2 linked regions of the Stegostoma tigrinum genome follow. The protein of the gene in region 1 purifies or fractionates together with the protein of each later gene. This does not show direct contact. Links are inferred from orthologs where the notes say so. Each region holds a gene or a part of one and is shown in the gene's direction. Other genes may lie near its edges.

Region 1 (10,110 bases):
CTCACAGTCCAAAGATGTGCACTCTGATGGATTGATCATGCTAAATTGCCCATAGTGCTCAGGGATGTGTAGATTAGGTGAGTTATAGGGGGCTGGGTCTGGTCTGGGTGAGATGCTCTGAGGGCTGATGTGGACTTGTTGGGCCAAAGGGCCTGTGTCTACACTGTAGGGATTCTACAAATTTCTCTGAAAATGTGAGTTCAAAACCGGTATAGTTTTCTATGCTTAATTAATTTGTCATATTCTCATTAAGAAGTTTAAAATGTGAATGTTCTTGCAAAGCATTTAGTAGAAACATAACATTTAATAATAAGACATCCAGTAGTAAAGTTTTTTTTAAACCACTTACCTTAACGTGTTTCTTACATCTCAGACTCATATGTTAATATGTATGCAATAAAGTGCAAAAATAGTTTAAACCAATCAGGTGATGCTTCACTTTACATCGTGTTCATTTTGTAGATCTGATGCCTTTTCATTGTTGCATAATCTTATATAACTTGTGTCGCAGGTTTTGGAACATTGATTCATTAACTTGTGGTATGATGTGGGTCAGTGATTAAGTCGTAAGGGGGACAGTAACTAAGCTATACGGTCTAAACAAGACTTGATTTGATAAGCCATCTGGATAAGCAGATACTTATCAATACTGCTAACATAATACCCTTCCCAAGTATTGTGCAGGGGCTACAAAAGGTGACACCAGATTGTAACTAATATAATAATTTTAGAAACTTATAGCAGAGAGGGAAGCTATTTGGCCCATTGTCCCAGTACAGGCTCTTCGAAAAAGCAGTGGTGCATTGTTCCACACTATCCCACCATTTTTCCAAAGCCCTGTAAGTTCATCATCCTCAAATATTCCAGTGCCCTTTCAAAAGTATTCAATGGAAACAGCTTCCATTTTAAGTACAGTATTTTAGATCTCAACTTCCAAAAAATTACCTTTCTAATGATTTTGTAATTTTTTTCATCTTTTCTCAAAATCTCTCATCTTAAAACCTCAAATAGGTAACCTCTTTACATTTGTTACAACAGTAGTCCATATTGTTATAACCCACTCATAACTGAAGTCCCTCATCCCTGATACATTCTAATAAATATCTCCTGTACACTTTTAGTACCTTTACATTTTTCTGAAGTGAATTGTCCAGAATGAGTCATGATAGTTTCGATGAGGTCCACCTACTGATTTATAAAGTTCTAGAATAATCTCTTTTATTTTCTTTTCCTCTATTTATACACCCAAGTAATCAATTTCCTAACCACCTTATCAATTTGTCCGAGTATTCCACGGGTCACAACTTAAAAATAAAGCTTGCCAGCCATGATTTACTAAGAGAGAGATTTAACACCAGCAACAGACCTGGGTATGCTTAAGTTCGAACAAGTGAGAAAACAAGATTCAAATAGTGATCTTACAGAAGGGCTGAGAATGTTGCATCTGTGTTCTCCTATTTACAAACATTTGTGAATTGGTCTATTGGGCTGGGAAAGTAGAAATTTAAGTTTTTTTTTCAGACAAATTTGGGATAAGTAAAATATTTCAGTTGACTTCCCCACACTCAAGTTAGTTGGTAGAGTCTTTTTTTTTAGCTATCCAAGGTTTATACTCTAATAAAAGAGTTCCAGGCGATCTCAGCCCCTTGGACTTCACATCCTGTTAACATGATCCTGTTGTGGATAATCATACATAACAGCAAATATCGGCTGCAACAGCTCAAACTCTAGATTTCAGAACTTGAGCAGCGGTTGTCATCATTGCAGCACATATGAATTTCAGAGCTTCATGGATAGCCTATTATAGACAAAGTCAGCACAGAGCTTATGAATAAGCAGGGAAATAGGGAATGGATGACCATCAGCCAGTCAAGTAGAAACAGGTAGATTGTGCAGGAGTCCCCTAAGTGCATCTTGTTATCCACTGAATACTCAGTTTTGAATACTGATGAAGTGATGGTTCATCTGTAGAGTGTAGCCAGTCAGGTTAATGGTACCATGGCTGACTCAATTGCATAGAAGGCATGAAGAACGCTGGAAGAACAATGGTGAAAGAAGATTCAATAGTCAAGGGAGCAGAGAGGGGATTCTGCAGCCACAGACATAAATCCAAGATAGTTAGTTGTTTCTGTCATGTCAGGGTTAAAAATATAACTGAACCTGTGCCAAACACCCAGAGAGTAAACATTGTTGTTAACAACATGGACAATCCCATATAAAAAAGGTGTACCTGTAGCCAGAATTCAGGCGCACCTGCTGCCCTCACCCTAGTTAAGGCTCTTAAGTGGGCAACTAATGACTACTTTAGGACTGTTTGTCAACAAATCACAATTATGAAGCTAGTGAAAGGAATTTAGGAGCAGATAATTACAGAAAGTCACCTCATTCAAATCTTGGATGGGTAGTGGGGCTTCCATCAACAACATTCATTCAACATCAGGGACCTCCAAACATCTACTCCCTGTAATGTCACTGCAGTTATTTCCCCGCTAGTCTTTCTTAGTTTATTTCTCTTGAGAGTCAGCCCACAAGGTGAGAGTCCCTTGACATCAAGACCGCATTTGACCGAAGGTGATATCAAGCAGTGCTAGCAAAACAAGAGTCAATAGGAATCGAAGGGAAAACTCTTCACTTAGAGTAATACCTACCAAGGAGGATGATGGCTATGGTTGTTGGAGGTCAGTCATCTTAGTTCCAGGACATCTTTACAGTAATTCCTCTGGGTAGTGTCATGGGCTCAACCATTTTCATCAATGACCTTACCTCCATTAGAAGATCAGAAATAGGGATGTTTGCTGCTGATTGTGCAATGTCCAGCACCATTTGTCACTTCTCAGATATTGCACTAAGATCTGGACAATATCTACATTTCAATTGGCAAGTAATATTTTTACCCCACAAGTACCAGGTAATGACTTTCTTTAACAAAAACAGAACAATTTCCCCATGATATTCAATGGCATTACAATCCCTGAATTCCCCACTATCAAAATCCTGGGGGTTACTATTGACCAGAAGCTGAACTGGACTTGCCATGCAAAGATTGTGGCTACAAAAGTAGTCCAGAGTTTAGGAATCCTGCAATGATTAAATCAATGACTCTCCAAAGACTATTCGCCATGTACAAGGTTCCTAATCAGAAACGTGACAGGATACTCCCCACTTGCCTGTCTGAGTGCAACTCCAACAAAACTCAAGAAGCTTGATGTCAGTCCAGAACAAAGCAGCCCTGTTGACTGTCATCACATTTGCATCTTTCAGCAATGACACACAATAACAGCAGTGAATACAAGGGCAGCACGGTGGCTCAGTGGTTAGCACTGCAGCCTCTCAGTGCCAGGGGCCCAGGTTCAATTCCAGCCTTGGGTAATTGTTTGTGTGGAGTTTGCACATTCTCCCCGTGTCTGCGTGGGTTTCCTCCGGGTGCTCTGGCTTCCTCCCACAGTCCAAAGATGTGCAGGCTAGGTGGATTGGCCATGCTAAATTGCGCATAGTGTTTAGGAGTGTGTGGGTTATAGGGGGATAGGTCTGGGTGGGATGCCCCAAGGGGCGGTGTGGACTTGTTGGGCCGAAGGGCCTGTTTCCACACTGTAGGGAATCTAATCTTAAAAAAAAGATGCGTTGCAGAAATTCAACAAGGCTTTCAGATATCAACTTGCAATGTTTGAATACTACTTTCTCAAAGGATTGGGCAGCAAACAGATGGAAACACTACCACCTGCAAATTCCCCTCGACACTACTCAACATATAATGAATTATATCTCCAAGACAAAACCCTGAGACTCATCACTAACTGCATAGTGAGTGTTGCTTACAACAACTGGACTCAAGTAATTCAAGAAAGCAACTCATTTTCAAGAACAACTGGGGATGGGAGGTAAATGCTGGCCCAGCCAGTGAGGCCCACTTCCCATATATGACTATTTAAAAAGACAAACCAATTGACCTGGAAACAATCTCAAGACACCATTGTTGTTGCATATAAAAATAAATGTGCATGCTAGAAATCTGAAATAAAATCAAAATACTGGAAAATTTCAGCAAGTTTGGAAGGGTTTAAGCTCCAAAATTCCCACTCTAACCACATATTGTACTTTAACTGTCATTCTTAAACATGTGACAAAACTTTTGATCATTACTTCTAAAATTTATTTACATGGTTTAGTCTCAACTTATGCCTGAGCATGCCATGAACGGGCAAATGGAACATTTAAGGTACTGCATGAGTGCAGATTGTTAAAACAAATAAAAGTCCTAGATTGTGTTCTTAATTTCTCAATAATGCTCTCATGAGGGACTCAGGTTTTAAAAAGGCCTATAATGTCCTAAATCAATGCATTATCATGAACACGTGTACTTTGAGGTTATTTTCCTGTGAACTACATTGCCTTTACTGTAAAATATATTTAAACATAAATAGCACCATGCAAAATTTCCATTTTATAAATAAAAATAATGATTTGTCTAAGCAATAAGGCAAATATCGATGTTTTGTTTTGTTTAATTCTTTGAACTATCACAGGACTTTTCTGATGAATTGTGTACACTTTGTTTACATTATCATCAGTGAGATCCACCTTAAATACTGTGAAATTCAAACAGTTACAGCAAAATAGTAGTCAATATCGGAAAATAGTCAGATGAAATATTATGAAGCTGGCAATCTAATCAACGAGCGTCACAATTCCGATCTTGTGCTGATGACAATATTCGTAAAATTTCAAAAGAATTTCAGTCAGTGTGTCGATACATCTGAATCCAACCACGATGAATATTGAAAAGGAATTCATCCAAATCTCAGCTGGAGTATCCCCAGGACAGATATTTACTGCAGTGCTTTTAAAATAGGATAAATTCCCAAAGTCTTCCTATTTGCTCCAGTCACTACAGCAGATGCCGGGGTGTGAGGAGAATCAACTCCAGGGAGATTCTAGTTTTTTTAAATTTACTTTTTATCCTTCTTCTTCAAAGAGTCCTTTATGCTTTCCTTCAGCTCCTTCGCGATGGCGTCTTTTAACTCGGCGACTTTCTTGTTGAGTTCCTCGAGGTTGCGGGGAATGTCTCCCTTCTCCAGGAGCTGCCGGAGGGCGTTGGATTGACTCAGGCGCTCGGCCACACTCCTGCCTCTCACCTGGAGCCGTGCGATCACATAGACAGTGATCTGGGCCGCCCGCCGCACCGGCGTAGACTCCGACAGTTTCTCGATCAGCCGCGCGTTGTTCAACGCCGACTGCAGCAGCCTTCGCAGTACCATGGCGGCCACTCAGCCTCCTTCCTCGATCCCGCTCACCTCCCTTCTGACCTCCGCGCTGCTCGGCCATCGACCCCACTATCTAATCGCCATGGAAACGACTCGATCACCTCGGCGATCGGCTGCACTGCTCCGTCACTTTTACAGTCCGGCGGGCAGCAAAGATCATTTGTTTCTTCATAAAAGAAAAATTCTGCATTTCACCCACATGTTGTCTTTGCAGTAAAGGAACGTAAACACGAGGCATTACACCTTCTTTGATTTTAAATCAGGGCGTAAGTCTCGCCGACAAAAACAGAAGTTGCTGGAAAAGCTCAGAAGGTCTGGCAGCATCTGTGAAGGAAAAAAAAGAGTTAACGTGTTCGGGTCCAGGATAGCGGTATAATTTCAGGAACGATCAGCCCGGAGTCGGCGGCAGCACGGACGGTTTCAAGTGGACGGACAAGACGGGAGTTTCTAGTCACCTGCTGCTTCCGGCAGCGAGGGTCGGTTGCTGCTTGTCTGTTTTTTGCTTCCCTCTCCGCCTCCGCCAGACTTTTTTTTTGGTGTCATGTCTGTTGTGCTGAATGCCCTCAACAGCGATTCTCATGTGGAGCTGAGCCAGTACCGGGATCAGCACTTTCGGGTAATGCGTCTCTTGTTTTTCTCTTCCAGGCCTGTTTTAACCAGTGATAAACCGGCCGTTAACCAAGCGGTACCCCTCTAGTCACAGCCAGACAGAAAGCCAAGTGTTGATACCAGGAACAAGTTTGGACAATGCCCTGAATTCTCCCTGTGTTTTTTTTTTGATCTTTTGAGGCCTGCTCCTCTCGTGTCTGACCTGCTACCAGTTCAGTTTCCTGAAAAATATTGATTTCTATCAATGACTTTTACATTTTCAAATTGATTTCTATAAAGTAATAGTTTGTATTCGATACTTATGAGGTACACTTAGTTTTTTTGAAAATTGAGAAGAAATAGATCGAGATGTAAAAGATATATAATAATAAAGTGTGGAGCTGGATGAACACAGCAGGCCAAGCAGCATCTCAGGAGCACAAAAGCTGACGTTTCAGGCCTAGACAATTCATCAGAAAAGGGGGATGGGGAGAGGGAACTGGAATAAATAGGGAGAGAGGGGGAGGCGGACCGAAGATGGAGAGATTACAAGGTAGGTAGAGAGGAGAGATCCAAGATAATAAAGTATGAAGCTGGATGAACACAGCAGGCTCTGATGAAGGGGCTAGGCCCGAAACGTCAGCTTTTGTGCTCCTGAGATGCTGCTTGGCCTGCAGTGTTCATCCAGCTTCACACTTTGTTATCTTGGATTCTCCAGCATCTGCAGTTCCCATTATCTGTGGTAGAGAGGAGAGTATCGGTGGGGAGGTAGGGAGGGGATAGGTCAGTCCAGGGAAGATGGACAGGTCAAGGAGGCGGGATGAGGTGTTAGGTAGGAAATGGAGGTGTGGCTTGAGGTGGGGGGAAGGGATGGGTGAGAGGGGAACAGGTTAGGGAAGCAGAGACAGGCTGGGCTGGATTTGGGATGCAGTGGGGGGAGGGGACGAGCTGGGCTGGTTGTGTGGTGCTGTGGGGGGAGGGGAAGAACTGGGCTGGTTTTGGGATGCAGTCGGGGAAGGGGAGATTTTGAAGCTGGTGAAGTCCACGTTGATACCATTGGGCTGCAGGGTTCCTAAGCGGAGTATGAGTTGCTGTTCCTGAAACCTTCGGGTGGCAACATTGTGGCACTGCAGGAGGCCCATGATGGACATGTCGTCTGAGGAATGGGAGGGGGAGTGGAAATGGTTTGCGACTGGGAGGTGCAGTTGTTTGTTGCAAACCGAGCGGAGGTGTTCTGCAAAGCGGTCCCCAAGCTTCCGCTTGGTTTCCCCAGTGTAGAGGAAGCCACACCAGGTGCAATGGATACAATATACCACGTTGGCAGATGTGCAGGTGAACATCTGTTTGATATGGAAAGTCATCCTGGGGCCTGGGATGGGGGTGAGGGAGGAGGTGTGGGGGCAGGTGTAGCACTTCCTGTGGTTGCAGGGGAAGGTGCCGGGTGTGGTGGGGTTGGAGGGAAGTGTGGAGCGGACAAGGGTGTCACGGAGAGAGTGGTCTCTCCGGAAGGCAGACAAGGGTGTGGATGGAAAAATGGTTTGGGTGGTGGGGTCGGATTGTAGATGGCGGAAGTGTCGGAGGATGATACGTTGTATCCGGAGGTTGGTGGGGTGGTATGTGAGGACGAGGGGCATCCTCTGGGGGCGGTTGCGGCAGGGGCAGGGTGTGAGGGTTGTGTTGCGGGAGACGCGGTCAAGGGTGTTCTCGACCACTGCGGGAGGAAAGTTGCGGTCCTGGAAGAACGTGGACATCTGGGATGTACGGGAGTGGAATGCCTCATCCTGGGAGCGGATGCAATAGCGGCCGAGGAATTGGGAATAGGGGATAGAATTTTTGCAGGAGGGTGGGTGGGAGGAGGTGTATTCTAGGTAGCTGTGGGAGTCAGTGGGCTTGAAATGGTCATCAGTTTCTAGCTCCCACGTTTCCCGCAACACATCCCTCACACCCCGCCCCCGCCAAAACCGTCCCCAGAGGATCCCCCTCGTCCTCACACACCACCCCACCAACGTCCGGATACAATGTATCATCCTCCCCTCCACACTCCCCTCCAACCCCACCACACACGGCACCTTCCCCTGCAACCGCAGGAAGTGCTACACTTGCCCCCACACTTCCTTCCTCACCCCCATCCCAGGCCCCAGGATGACCTTCCGTATCAAACAGATGTTCACCTGCACATCTGCCAATGTGGTATATTGTATCCATTGCACCCGGTGTGGCTTTCTCTACATTGGGGAAACCAAGCGGAGGCTTGGGGACCACTTTGCAGAACACCTCCGCTCGGTTTGCAACAAACAACTGCACCTCCCAATCGCGAACCATTTCAACTCCCTCTCCCATTCCTCAGACGACATGTCCATCATGGGCCTCCTGCAGTGCCACAATGAAGTCACCCGAAGGTTTCAGGAACAGCAACTCATATTCCGCTTGGGAACCCTGCAGCCCAATGGTATCAGCGTGGACTTCACCAGCTTCAAAATCTCCCCTTCCCCGACTGCATCCCAAAACCAGCCCAGCTCGTCCCCTCCCCCCACTGCATCCCAAAACCAGCCCAGCCTGTCTCTGCTTCCCTAACCTGTTCTTCCTCTCACCCATCCCTTCCTCCCACCTCAAGCCGCACCTCCATTTCCCACCTACCACCTCATCCTGCCTCCTTGACCTGTGCATCTTCCCTGGACTGACCTATCCCCTCCCTATCTCCTACCTATACTCTCCTCTCTACCTATCTTGTTTTCTGTCCATCTTCGGTCCGCCTCTCTTCCCCCCCCCCCCCCCCCCCCCCCCCCGCCATTTATTCCAGAACCCTCACCCCATCCCCCTCTCTGGTGAAGGGTCTCGGCCTGAAACGTCAGCTTTTGTGCTCCTGAGATGCTGCTTGGCCTGCTGTGTTCATCCAGCTCCACACTTTGTTGCCTTGGATTCTCCAGCATCTGCAGTTCCCATTATCACTGGGAAAGATATATGATGTGAGTGGGGGGTAAAACTGGTTATGGAGTTCAATAAGAGATGAAAATGTGGGGTTCAGTCATTTTGGGGCTGAGAAAGATGAGCAGGACTATTGTAAAGCTAAGAAGTAGAAATTGGAGAGTAACGGTATTTGGATGTGCATGTATGCTCTTAAAAACTGATGTGTGGGTTGGGGGAAAGATAGCTAATGGAATGTTGGTCTTCCTCTCAAGGAGAGCTGGAAAAGGTAGAAGCTGTATTTCTGTTTGTGCAGTGCCTTTTCTGGACCAAGCACTCTGTTCAGTTCATAGGTACAGCAACACGGGAAAGCCTTGGTGGTGGAGCAGTGCAAATTCATTAGCATGATTATTCTGATTAAAAGGGTTGTTTTAGGGAATGGTATAAAACTGACTTGTTCCTTTTTAATTCTGAAGTTGAGTGATGATCTAAGTCAGGTGTTTAAATTTGGAGGCATTGTAAACTGAGGACAATGTAAAATGTCAAAAGATCATTGACAAGTGGAGGGTGAATAAGTGGTAGATATTCAGTTCTGTTCATTTTGATAGGATGTGGAGAAACAATATAAAATAGAAGGTATTACTGTAATGTGTGTAGGAGCAGAGAAATCTGACAGGGCAAATGGAGATCATGGTTAAAAAAACAAACAGTATCCTAGGTTTTAAGTTGTACTGAGTCTGCATGTGAGATGAATTGGGTTAGTTGGACTATTGTGTGTACTTCCACAGGCCACACTTTAGGAAGTATATGATGGCATTAGGCAGAACACAGTGGTTTACAAGAATGTTTCCAGGGATGAAACATTTCGGGTATGAAAATAGATTGGAGAAGTTGAGGCTGGTTTCCTTAAAGAGGAGGAGGGAGAGATGAGATTTGATTGAAGCTTTCAAAATCATGAGAGGTCTGAACAGAATAGACAAGGAGAAACTGTTCCCACTTGTAAACAGATCAAGAGCAACAGGGCAAAAATTTAAAGTAATTTGCAGAAGTAGTGTATATGATGTTAACAAGGTTACCTCTAAGCTATGCAGCCACTTGGAGAATCCACACACACCAATTGGTGCACACAGGCATTGATTTTAGATTTTGGAAGTCATTGCCACACATGGACCTCAGAGGGTGATACAGAAGGAAAGAAATAAGAAGGAATCTCGGAGGTGGTCAGGTCTGCAGTGCCTTGCGTGGAGATGCAGGTTTAATTGTACATTCATGAAGGCGTTATTTCTATTCAAATAATTGCCTCATGTACAAGGTTAGAGGACAGGAAAATGGCACTAAATCATGATGTTCATTCAGA
Region 2 (10,688 bases), on another chromosome or scaffold:
AGACAGTCTCCAGCTGCAGAACACCTCCCTCTTTCGGAGCAAAGGCCTCGCGAAGGACAGCGTTACCCGGTGCATCCTATCAGCGCAGCAACGCAAAAATCGCAGCAATTTAAAACACACACACGCTGTCGGTGAAATCGGTGGAGCGCAGCCTGTGTGATTGGCAGCAGCATGCGCTGCCCACCTCCCCTCCAACGTCCAAGGAAAAGGGAATGAAGCGAAGAGCCGGAAGAGCTAACCGCAGATCCTGCCCTGAACCCGGTTACTCAACCCCGAAAATAGATCAGCAGCACGTCCGCTGACCGTGCAATCCCAGAGCTTGGGGCAGGGGGGTGGTAGAAAAACACATAGTCACTTCGTTTTAAAGCATTTCCCTTTCTGCAATAATAATAGTCTCTCATAATGAAACGTCATTGCAGCACCAGCTAAATTTAGAGCTGCATTTTAACAATTGAAAGCATAATCAAAATGGTTTTGGGGGGGGGTTGTGGAAAGAGAAAGATGGATGGGAAGCTTAGGGCACAGGACTAGCTGATAAAAGTGAATTCACCATAGTCCCGGACGACTCTCATTAGGGAGACACTACTAGTGGTGGTTTAAGCAGAGAGTCACCACTTCTCAGGGAGGGGAGAGGTTAAGGAAATACTTTCGTGGTAACCTTAGAATGTACAGCAATTGAGCCTAATGTTTGGGGACATCACCCGATATCACAAACCAGCTGTCTAACCAATTGAGATACGTGACTCCCTACCAGCTGAAAGGACGGTTATGATGGAAAAAACATCAGTGGTGTGCAGCAAGCCAGAAATGAAGGCATGTGAGGTTCTTAGAGGATCGTAGATGATGTTCCATCCATTTGTTTCTTTGTCTGGTTATTACATTATGTACTTCCTTCATGATTGCTGCCATTGGCTTTGCCCATGTGTTAAAAGGACCGGTGGTTTGTGCAGTCTGTTTGTTTCATTGCGCTTATTATGGGTTGCTGCTCACCAGCCTACCTGGCTGTACAGCTTAGAGAGAGTGTCAGTTGTCAGGTTGGAAAAGTTAGAGGCAGGATGGACTAGGCCATGGGGAGATTTGAACACAAGGATATGTGAGCGGGACTTGGTGCAGTGTTAGGAAACTGCCAACCGAGTTCGATGAAGAGAAGTCTACAAAAGGTGCAGCGCAGGTGCCCATTCAGCAAAGTGTTGGAATCGTCAGTTATGGGGGTACAGAATTAACCTGGAATCACATCCATTGTAAAGAAAAATCAGAATAAAGCCATGGAAACTGGTTTCGGGATCAGAGGGTCTGAGATAGGAGGGCAGATAGGCATTACTAAAGAAGTGAAAATGCTGACTATGATCAGAGTGTTACTACTATTCAATTTCTTCCAACATTAACTTTCTCAGATTTGTTCCATTTTGGCCTTTGTAACCACAGTGACCACTTGATTCACTATGAAGCATTTGGAGACATTCCAGAGAAATAATAGGCCCATAAGATACAAGGATAGGATTAGGCTATTCAGCCCATTGAGTCTGCTCTGCTATTTGTTCATGGTTGTTAAGTTTCTCATCCCCACTTTGCTGCCTTCTCTCCATAACCTTTGATCTCCTTACTAATCAAAAACCAAGCTATCTCTGTCTTAAATACACTCAGAAACTTGGCTTCCACAGCCTTCTGTGACAATGAGTTCCATAGATTCACCATTCTCTGGCTGAAGAAATTCCACCTCATCTCAGTTCTAAAGGGTAGCCCTTTCACTCTGAGGCTGTACCTTCAGGTTTTAGCCTCTCCTACTAAAGGAAGCATCTTCTCCACATCCACTCTATCCAGACCCCTCAGTATTCTGTGAGTTTCAGTGAGATTCCCCCTCATCCTTGTAAACGCCATTGAGTACAGACCTGTCAACAAATGAAAAATTTCATGCAAAGTCGTCAAGTCACTGATAATATCGAAATTGAAGGGAAGGAAATCAAGTGGGGACTGCAGTCAGGGACTGAAAAAGGCCAGAAACAAATAAACTTATGTCAGGACAAAGATTAATGTTTTTAGCAGTCAGTGATAAGGAACGACAATGTCATCCAAGTCAGGATGACGTGTGATATGGCGAAGAGTTTAGAGATGGTAGCGGCGTTCCTATGCAAATTCCCTCATAAAAATTTGCAATACACTACAATTTGCTGGGCAGAATTCTCAGCCTACAGATGATGTTAATTGCGTAGAAATATCTAAAAATACTCAACCACTCCCCATAAGACAAGTCCTTCATCCCCAGGATCAGTCCCTGAACCCCTCCAAGGCCGGCACGTTCTTCCTTGGATACAGAACCCAAAACTGCTCACAATATTCCAAATGTGGTCTCACCAGAGCCTTACCACCTTGGCAATAAATCTCCGCTTGTATATTCTAACCCTCTCGAATGTGAATATTGCATTTGCCCTCCCAACTGCCAACTGACCCTGCATGTTAACCTTAAGAGAATCCTTAACTAGGACTCTTCTGTCTCTTTGTACATCGGATTTCCTAAAACATTCCCCATTTAGAAAATAGTCTATGCCTCTATTCTTCCTACAAAAGTGCATGTTCTCATACTTTCCCACATTGTATTCCATGCCTTCTTTCTTAGGCTGTCCAAGACCTTTTGCAGCCTCTCTCCATCCTCAACACTAACTGTCTCTCCACACAACATAAATGACATAACATAAGTGCAAATATCTGTAGACATTTCTGTTAATGATGTTAACTTGACAAATAAATCAGGATCCATGTACCTTTCCAGGCCAGACCATTCAAGACTGTCCTGCAACTTATAACCTAGAATGCATTCTAAAATAAGATCTTCATTTACATTTTAATTGTTCATTCCTTATTTAGTACATTTCAGAGTATTTAGCAGCTGAATTCACTCTCCACAAAATAAATATAAGCTATTGAACGGAACAGAAATTATATTGGTAAATTTGTAAACTGCAGAAATTGAAGCAGCTTTGCTAAGAAATAATAAGTTGGCAATATTTTTATAACATCTGTTTCGAGGTCTTAAGACAGTCATCATATTAACCTGAACTGCCTTGTTTATTTGCTTCCTTTTACATTTTGCAACAAAGTCCAATACAGTTTAGAAACACAGAGCTTTCTTTGTTTGTAACTAGCAGTTTCTAGGCTGCGTTAATATGTTGCTCTTGACCCTGACATCCTATTCATAGCTATGACAATGGTAATGACAAGTATGATGTTCTAGATCAGACAGCTGGTTTGAGTTTGGAATGTTTGAAACAGTTTCAAGGAGTAATTGATTTAACTTAACTGGAAGAACAGAAACTATAGATCAAATGACATCTAGTTTTGTAATAATACAATATAAAATGTTTTTGTTGACTAGCTTTGGACAGAAAATGCACAAACTTTTAAGTGTATCTATGGAAGGTGACCTCTTCATAATTTCATAGTCTTGATTTTCAGACAACTCAATTCTTGAGAATTATACTCTTGACACTGTTGACTCCCAGCTGAATGTGACACTGCGGAACAAATGAAGGGGATTGTGACTGAGAGGGGGGATGCAGATAAAATTAGTAAGCCATTAAAAATATACAAGTTAATAAAAGTTGTATTTGTTAAAGGTGTGTCATGTTTGCACATTTAATTTTGATACAGTAATGATCCAATAAAAAGCATATTGGAGACGACAGGCCCATTGGCGACAAACATTAATCTTTCTAATGCTGCTGAGGTGGGATGCCCCTTTGGATTGGAGGTAAGCAGTCCACAATTTTATATGGTCAATGTTTATAGAATACCTCTAATGCAACAAAACATCCATGACAATTTATATTGCAGCACAAGGCAAAATGTGGTTTCTGGTTATATAAAGTGATATTAGAAAGGATAGCCAAAAGCCAAAAAAAGTTAATTTTAAGGAGCACCTTCAAGGAAGAAAGAGATTTCAAGAGGTGGAGTGATTTCAGAGTAAATTACTGAATTTAAGTCCCTGGTAGCTGGAGTCATAGCTAGGTTTTAGACTGGTAAAATCTCTGGCAGGAATTGAGTCTGCCTGTCTTCATCTCTTTCAAGGTCTTTTGCATGTCCGGGTGGTCCTGGTGGCAGGAGTATGTAGTATCTAAGGTTGCGCCTGATGAACATGAACAGTGGGCAGCTCAAAGTATAAAATGCCTTGTGAGAGACTTGTGGCACAGTGGTAGTGTCCCTAACTGTGGGCCAAAAGGCCAGAGAAATGCCATGATACGCCTAAATAGATTAATTAAAAAATAACTACAATGTGTTGATGACATCAGTAACAATTTGGAATATTGTGTGCAGTTGTGGTCGCCCCATTACAGGAAGGATGTGGAAGCATTGGAAAAGGTGCAGAGGAGATTTACCAGGATGTTGCCTGGTCTGGAGCGCAGGCCCTATGAAGAAAGGCTGAGGGCCTTGGGTCTGTTCTCATTGGAGAGAAGGAGGCTAAAAGGGGATTTAATAGAGACATACAAATGATCAGAGGATTAGATAGGGTGGACAGTGAGAGTCTTTTTCCGAGGATGATGACTTCAGCTTGTACAAGGGGGCATAGCTACAAATTGAGGGGTGATAGATTTAAGACAGTTGTCAGAGGCAGGTTCTTTACTCAAAGAGTGGTAAGGGCCTAGAACGCCCTGCCTGCCAATCTAGTTAACTCAGCCACATTAGGGGCATTTCACCAGTCCTTGGATAAGCATATGGATAATGATGGGATAGTGTAGGGGGAGGGGCTTAGATTAGTTCACAGGTCGGCGCAACATCAAGGGCCGAAGGGCCTGTTCTGCGCTGTATTGTTCTGTGTTCTATGTTCTAATGTTTTGATTTCATTGAGATAATATGTATTTTTATTTTGGGCGGATCTGAAGTTTTTTTTCAATTTGAGTAAATTAGAAGTATCATAAAAGGTTGTAGTAATTCTTATTTGGTGACCTTGCCTGCAGCAACTGGTCACCTTCATTTATTCAGCCAGCTTGCCACAACTATTTAATAAAGAGACATTAAAAGAATCAAGAAACAGAGGGACAAATAAAAACAAGCACAAGCTGGAATCCAAGGTAGACAGACAGGAGGCTGGAAGAACACAGCAGACCAGGCAGCATCTGGAGGAAAGCAGCAGTCAACATTTCAGGCATTACCCTTCTTCAGAACTTCAAGAAACAGAGGCCACAAGTTTAAAGTGATCTGCCCAAAAAATACAAATGTGAGGGACATTAAAAAGCATTTTCACACAACGAGTAGTAAGATTATGGAATGCGCTGCCTGCAAGTATAGTTAAGGCATTCAAGAGGGCAATGGGTGATATTTGGATGAACATAATGTGCATGACTACAGTTATAAAGTGGGCAACTGGCACGAAGTAACGGTCATCATTTGGAGATCCGATGCAGATGAGATGGTCTGAACAGCCCCCTTCTGCACTGTAACACTTATATGATTCTGTGATATAAAACCAATTGTCTCTCTATCTCAGAGATAGCGGGAACTGCAGATGCTGCAGAATCTGAGATGCCAAGGTGTAGAGCTGGATGAACACAGCGGGCCAAGCTGCATCAGAGGAGCAGGAGAGCTGACGAGAAGGGTCTAGGCCCGAAACGTCAGCCTTACTGCTCCTCTGATGCTGCTTGGCCGGCTGCGTTCATCCAGCTCTACACCATTTTATCTCTGTCTCACTGTCTCTCTCTTTCCTATCATGAAGAGAGAGGATATCTATAGCCCACTGCAATCAGCCAGTGCAGCGCCCCCATCTGGTCAGGGCTAGAGCAGCCCGAGGCGTGGTGTTGGGGTGTGGAGAGAGCAGGGAGGCTGTGACCCGGAAGTGCAGAGCTGGAGGTTTTGTTTCCGGGTTCGGGGCCAGGCTCTGCTTGCAGCGATGGCGGCGCCGCTGGAGGACGGTGAGGTGTTGGACACCGAGTCGGACTCGGAGATGACCACGGGCGGAGAGCTGCAGGTACCGGAGGGGAGGGGAGGGGGGATTTGCAGTGAAATGGTTCCCTGTGTCCCCAGGATTAGCCACATCTCTCCCTGACGGAGCAGACCCTTGCAACATGGAGATCCAGCTGGAATATAATGGGCTCTCATTCTCCTCTCCCTCTGGAGCTATGAGTCCTGGGGCGGGGGTGTGATTGCCTTCTGTAGCCGCCTCCTGTTCCTGGGGTGAGTCTGTACCCTTCCTTCACATCAAGCCCCAGGCCACAAATGCTTCACTTGTAAAGTTCACACCTTCGTTCCAAGACCATTTTGTAGCCAAAAAAACCCAGGAATTGCTGGAGAAACTCAGCAACATATACAGAGAGGTAAACAAAAATCCGTAAATGTTTCGACTCCTGTGACCTTTCTGAACCCTTTTGTAGCATTTTCCCTCTCCATCTGTGAACCTCTTAAACCCCCATCACGGCTCAAGCTGTCTTCCAACTCTGTCCAGCCCCTTGCGCATCTCCCTGCAATTTATTTCTCCCCAGCTTGCATAACCGGCCTTCGACAATCATTAAAAGCTGACAATGCTATAAGATATTCAAGCATTTTTTAAAAGACTATCTTGGTCCTGTACCTCTTACTTCCTTTAAGATGCTCCTTAAAAAGTATTAGGAAAGCTGACCAATGGTTTGATCAGATATGTCTACATAGTCTGACATCATTTTCTTTTCCCCCTTTGAGATTATTTCAGTGCACTTAAGATTGTTTTGCTATCTTAAGATATTCAGGTGGATTCAGAATGTCTTATGATACTCATTAATCTTTGTGCAGGGAGTAGCCTACCCAACATGCATTCTTTGACAGCAAAACAGAATAGCTGGACAGTTTGTTCTTGTATAAGACATCTTTCTTGAAATTTAGCTACTGTGCTCTTTTTAACCATCATTCAGTGAGAACTAGTTAGTGTTGTGAAAAGGTGCTTTTATGATTAAACGGTAGGAAAATTCAATTGGAGCTACTTGATCTGAATTCATCTTTTGAAGGGGAAAATTTTCTGTTGCTACAACAATGAGCATCTTGAGTGTCTAGGTCTATAGATGAACATTCTGAATTCTACAGTATAAAAGCTGTGGTATATCTGTCATAATATTCTGCCGTTTCTGGTGGATTTAGTTTTTAAAAATAAATTTTACTTGAATTAATTTCAAATTTGAATGTTAATCTTTCTAAAGTTTGTAAGCGTTTGAGTGAAAGCTTCCAGAATATTCTCTCAGATACTGGTGCAGATGCATCCTGAGAATTTTAAGTACCACACAACTTCCTATTCTTTATTACCCACTTATATCTGTAGCTTCTCCAAGGTTCTCTCCATGGCTGCCACTGTTTTTCAGCAACATGGTATTTCTCAGGGCCATCTTGTAAAAACTTGCCATTTTCCACATGTACACAGAAAGCTGGTTTGTCACTATTTCTCTCAACCTGTTCACGTCCTTTGACTTGTCATTGTGCTTATCTGACTTAAGGTGAACTGAATTTCTTCCATTTAAGTGTCAGACAGACCAAAGCCATTGCCTGAGGCCAAGCCAAACTGTTGGGACTTGGTGTAATGTTTAACACAGTTTCCACCTCCATATCATAAAATCCCTACAGCATGGGAGTCGGCTATTTGGCCCATTGAGTCCTGACCACACCCCCCACCACCCCCACGAAGATCATCCCGTGTGGACCAACTGGCACCTCCCCCACCCGATTTCCGTGTAACCCTGCATATTGGACAATCCACCTAACCTGTACATCTTTGGACTGTGGGAGGAAACGCATGCAGATTTGGGGAGAATTTTCGAACTCCATCCAGTCTCCCAAGGGTGGAATCGAATCTGGGTCCCTGGCGCTGTGAGGCAACAATGCTAATCACTAAGCCTAAAGCCAACTGTTGAATTTCCACTTGACGTTCAATCCACGTTTTATTGACCTATATTGTTGCACAGTCTGGCAACAGCTCAGCTTTTAAAATTCTCAAATAAGAATAAAAACTGCTGGGAAAGTTCAGCAGGTCTGATAGCATTTGTAGAGAGAAATTAGAGTCAACGTTTCGAGTCGAGTGACCCTTTGAGAATGGATTCTGAGGAAGGGTCGTTCGACCTGAAACTTTGACTCTGATTCCTCTCAGCAGATGATGCCAGATCTACTGAGCTTTTACAGTGGTTTCTAGTGTTGTTTCTGATTTACAACTTCCGCAGTTCTTTTGGTTTTTGTTTAAAATGCTCATATTTCTTTTCAAGTCCTCCTGTGGTCTTGTCCCAGCTTAGTCCTGCAACTTGTTACAGCCCTAAAGCTCTCCAAGATTGCTAAGCTTCTCCATTTTGTGTCTGTTGCACATCTCTAATTTTCACTTTGCCACTGTTGTCTGTACTTTTAGCTGCCTAGACTCTAAGCTCTGGACCCACTTCCCTAAACCTCTACATCTATTTCCTTCCCTCTCTCTTGTTTAGATGCCTCTTTGACCAAGGTCTTGGCTATCAGCCCCAATATTTCTTTATTCAACTTGTCAAATTTTGATTGAAATTTCTCATGATGTTTGTACAAACCAAATTCAGTTCAGGGCTGCAGTCCTGGGCAAAAGTATCAGGTTCCAAGCCCAGACTTTTGAGAGACTGAGACCTTCACTTAAAGTCTTTAAGGATGGAATTTAAGGTTGCAATCAAAATTTGAGATTAATGCCGTCTCTTTTTATTGTTGAAGTCTTTTCTTTGGACAAATTCCTTCAGTTGCTGAAGGAAAGAAATCTCGTCAAACACATGGGATCATGCAACTAGATTGCACATTAAGAACAAGATGTTCCGTAGGCAAAATTCATTATGAATATGGGTGAAGGAATAAATTTGAAACACTGGAGAAGTGACAGGCGTTTTAGGAGCCACTGCAAAGTGTGAATAGCAAATTATTGCTTGCATGCTATTTTCCAAAGCAATAATTTTAATTAGGCCAATCATAATGTTCACACTTACTAACTGTGTTGTACTTCATTTACAGAACCAGCAAGCTGCTATTCCCAACTTTCCAACTACACCCTTTAGTACACAAAATGATATGCCAGCTCATCCATCTTCATTTGATTTGAGCAGTCGCTACAGAACCGCAACATCTGACAATTCAAGTGAAGAGAGTGATCTTGATTCCGATGATGAGGAAAGACTCTTGTGGCGAAGGAAACGTCAAAAGTGTTCAAACAGTACAAACAATCTACCTTTAAAGCCTCCAGTCGTGCCTTTTGGTCCGGTTGGTGATGGTTTTACGGGGGCTGGAAATCCTGCAAAAGTCGGAAGTCACAAAATTAACAATATTTGGGGCTCAGTGTTGCAGGAGCAAAATCAAGATGCTGTGGCAACAGAGCTGGGAATTTTGGGAATGGAGGGCAGCATCGACATGAACTCTCGACAGTCTGAGACTTATAATTATGTAATGGCAAAGAAGATGATAGCAAAGCAGCGTCAGGAGGAGGAAGAGGAAATGAATAAGTTAGAAACAGAATTAGATGAGTATGTACAGGATGGAAGGAAAATCAAAAACCAGGAAGAGTCTAATCAAAGTAATCTCAAGCGAAAAAGGCCAGTTAAGGAGAGACTAGGGGAAAGGCTTGAAATGAACTATAAGGGAAAATATGATATTAAAGAAGATGATAGCCCAACGAAGATTTCAGATGAAATAGCTTACAGGTTGGTATGTTCTGTTTACAGTTATTGCTAAATACAGGTTATCTAGAATGACAACTGAAAAGTTTTCTGCAGAGGTAATAGTAAGATGCTATCTGCAGATGTTTTCTGCCTTGTGTGAGCCTCGGAAAATTTGCCTTTGTTCGGTGTGCCTCTGAGCCTTGATGGTACCCCCAACTGTGCAGTAATCATCAAACAATACCTCTGTTCATCCTGCTTTTTTGTTCTTTGAGAAAAGTCAGCGTTGTTCGAAGAAGGGGTAAGGTAAATAATACTTTTGTCTCCAAACGGTAAGTGAAGTAGGCTGTTTGAGTAGAATTAGTTTCTTTTTGCTTTTATTATTTCTTAGGATATGGATGTTCTTGGTAGGGCCAGAATGTTGATCATCTTTAAGAGTCAACCAGATCGCTGTGGGACTGGAGTGAGGTGCAGGCCAGACGGGGAAAGCTGGCGGATTTCCTCCCCAAAGGATACTAGTGAAAAAGCTGGGTTTTTGCAATAATCAGTAATAGTTGATCGTGATCACCATCGCTAAGACCAGCTTTATGTTTATCAATTTAGTTTAAATTCCATGCGTTTCTTTGGTGGAATCCGAATCTCTGTCCCTGGCCTCTGACTCACTTAGTGTGCGGAAATTGGTTGGCTCCATTTGTCAACTGTACCATGAATAAAATTGAACCCACTTCCATGGTGCAGCAATTGGTTTGAAGAAAATGTTTGACTGTCGGTATTTACAATTTTGCTGTTTTTAAGTCAGCTGCTGGGATGCACATGATGGACCTTTTGTTTTGTCCTGCCTCACATGACTGTCAAATGTGATTGCTTGCCTCTTGTGCCAAAAGTGAGAACACTATAAACCACTTCCCTTTTTACTGTTGTACATGGATTTAGCAATCATTCCAGGGACCATCATAGTACACTGACATGACGTTATCAGTACGAATGAAGTGGCTTTGACTTGACATCAACAGAAACTATAATGTAATATGGGAGAAGTTGATCCAACTAAAGCTACAATCAGACTTTTAGAGAATACCTTGAGTCCTGTCTCAA

What was found.
Region 2: the proteins of ncbp2 (region 1) and phax purify together in Homo sapiens (affinity purification with mass spectrometry; 5 studies listed by BioGRID and IntAct, with this or other methods). This does not show direct contact. The link is inferred for Stegostoma tigrinum from reciprocal best matches to the Homo sapiens genes NCBP2 and PHAX.

What each region holds. Positions count from the first base shown.
Region 1 is NC_081367.1:52,261,617-52,271,726, reverse strand, and holds the start of ncbp2 (nuclear cap-binding protein subunit 2), read left to right. Parts: upstream 1-5,669; 5' UTR 5,670-5,802; coding exon 5,803-5,877; intron 5,878-10,110. Other genes in the region: protein NCBP2AS2, read right to left, coding at 4,947-5,255. UniProt on the Homo sapiens protein: Component of the cap-binding complex (CBC), which binds co-transcriptionally to the 5' cap of pre-mRNAs and is involved in various processes such as pre-mRNA splicing, translation regulation, nonsense-mediated mRNA decay, RNA-mediated gene silencing (RNAi) by microRNAs (miRNAs) and mRNA export.
Region 2 is NC_081356.1:68,956,197-68,966,884, reverse strand, and holds the start of phax (phosphorylated adapter RNA export protein), read left to right. Parts: upstream 1-5,844; 5' UTR 5,845-5,878; coding exon 5,879-5,956; intron 5,957-8,955; coding exon 8,956-9,638; intron 9,639-10,688. Other genes in the region: aldh7a1 (alpha-aminoadipic semialdehyde dehydrogenase), read right to left, coding at 1-75. UniProt on the Homo sapiens protein: A phosphoprotein adapter involved in the XPO1-mediated U snRNA export from the nucleus.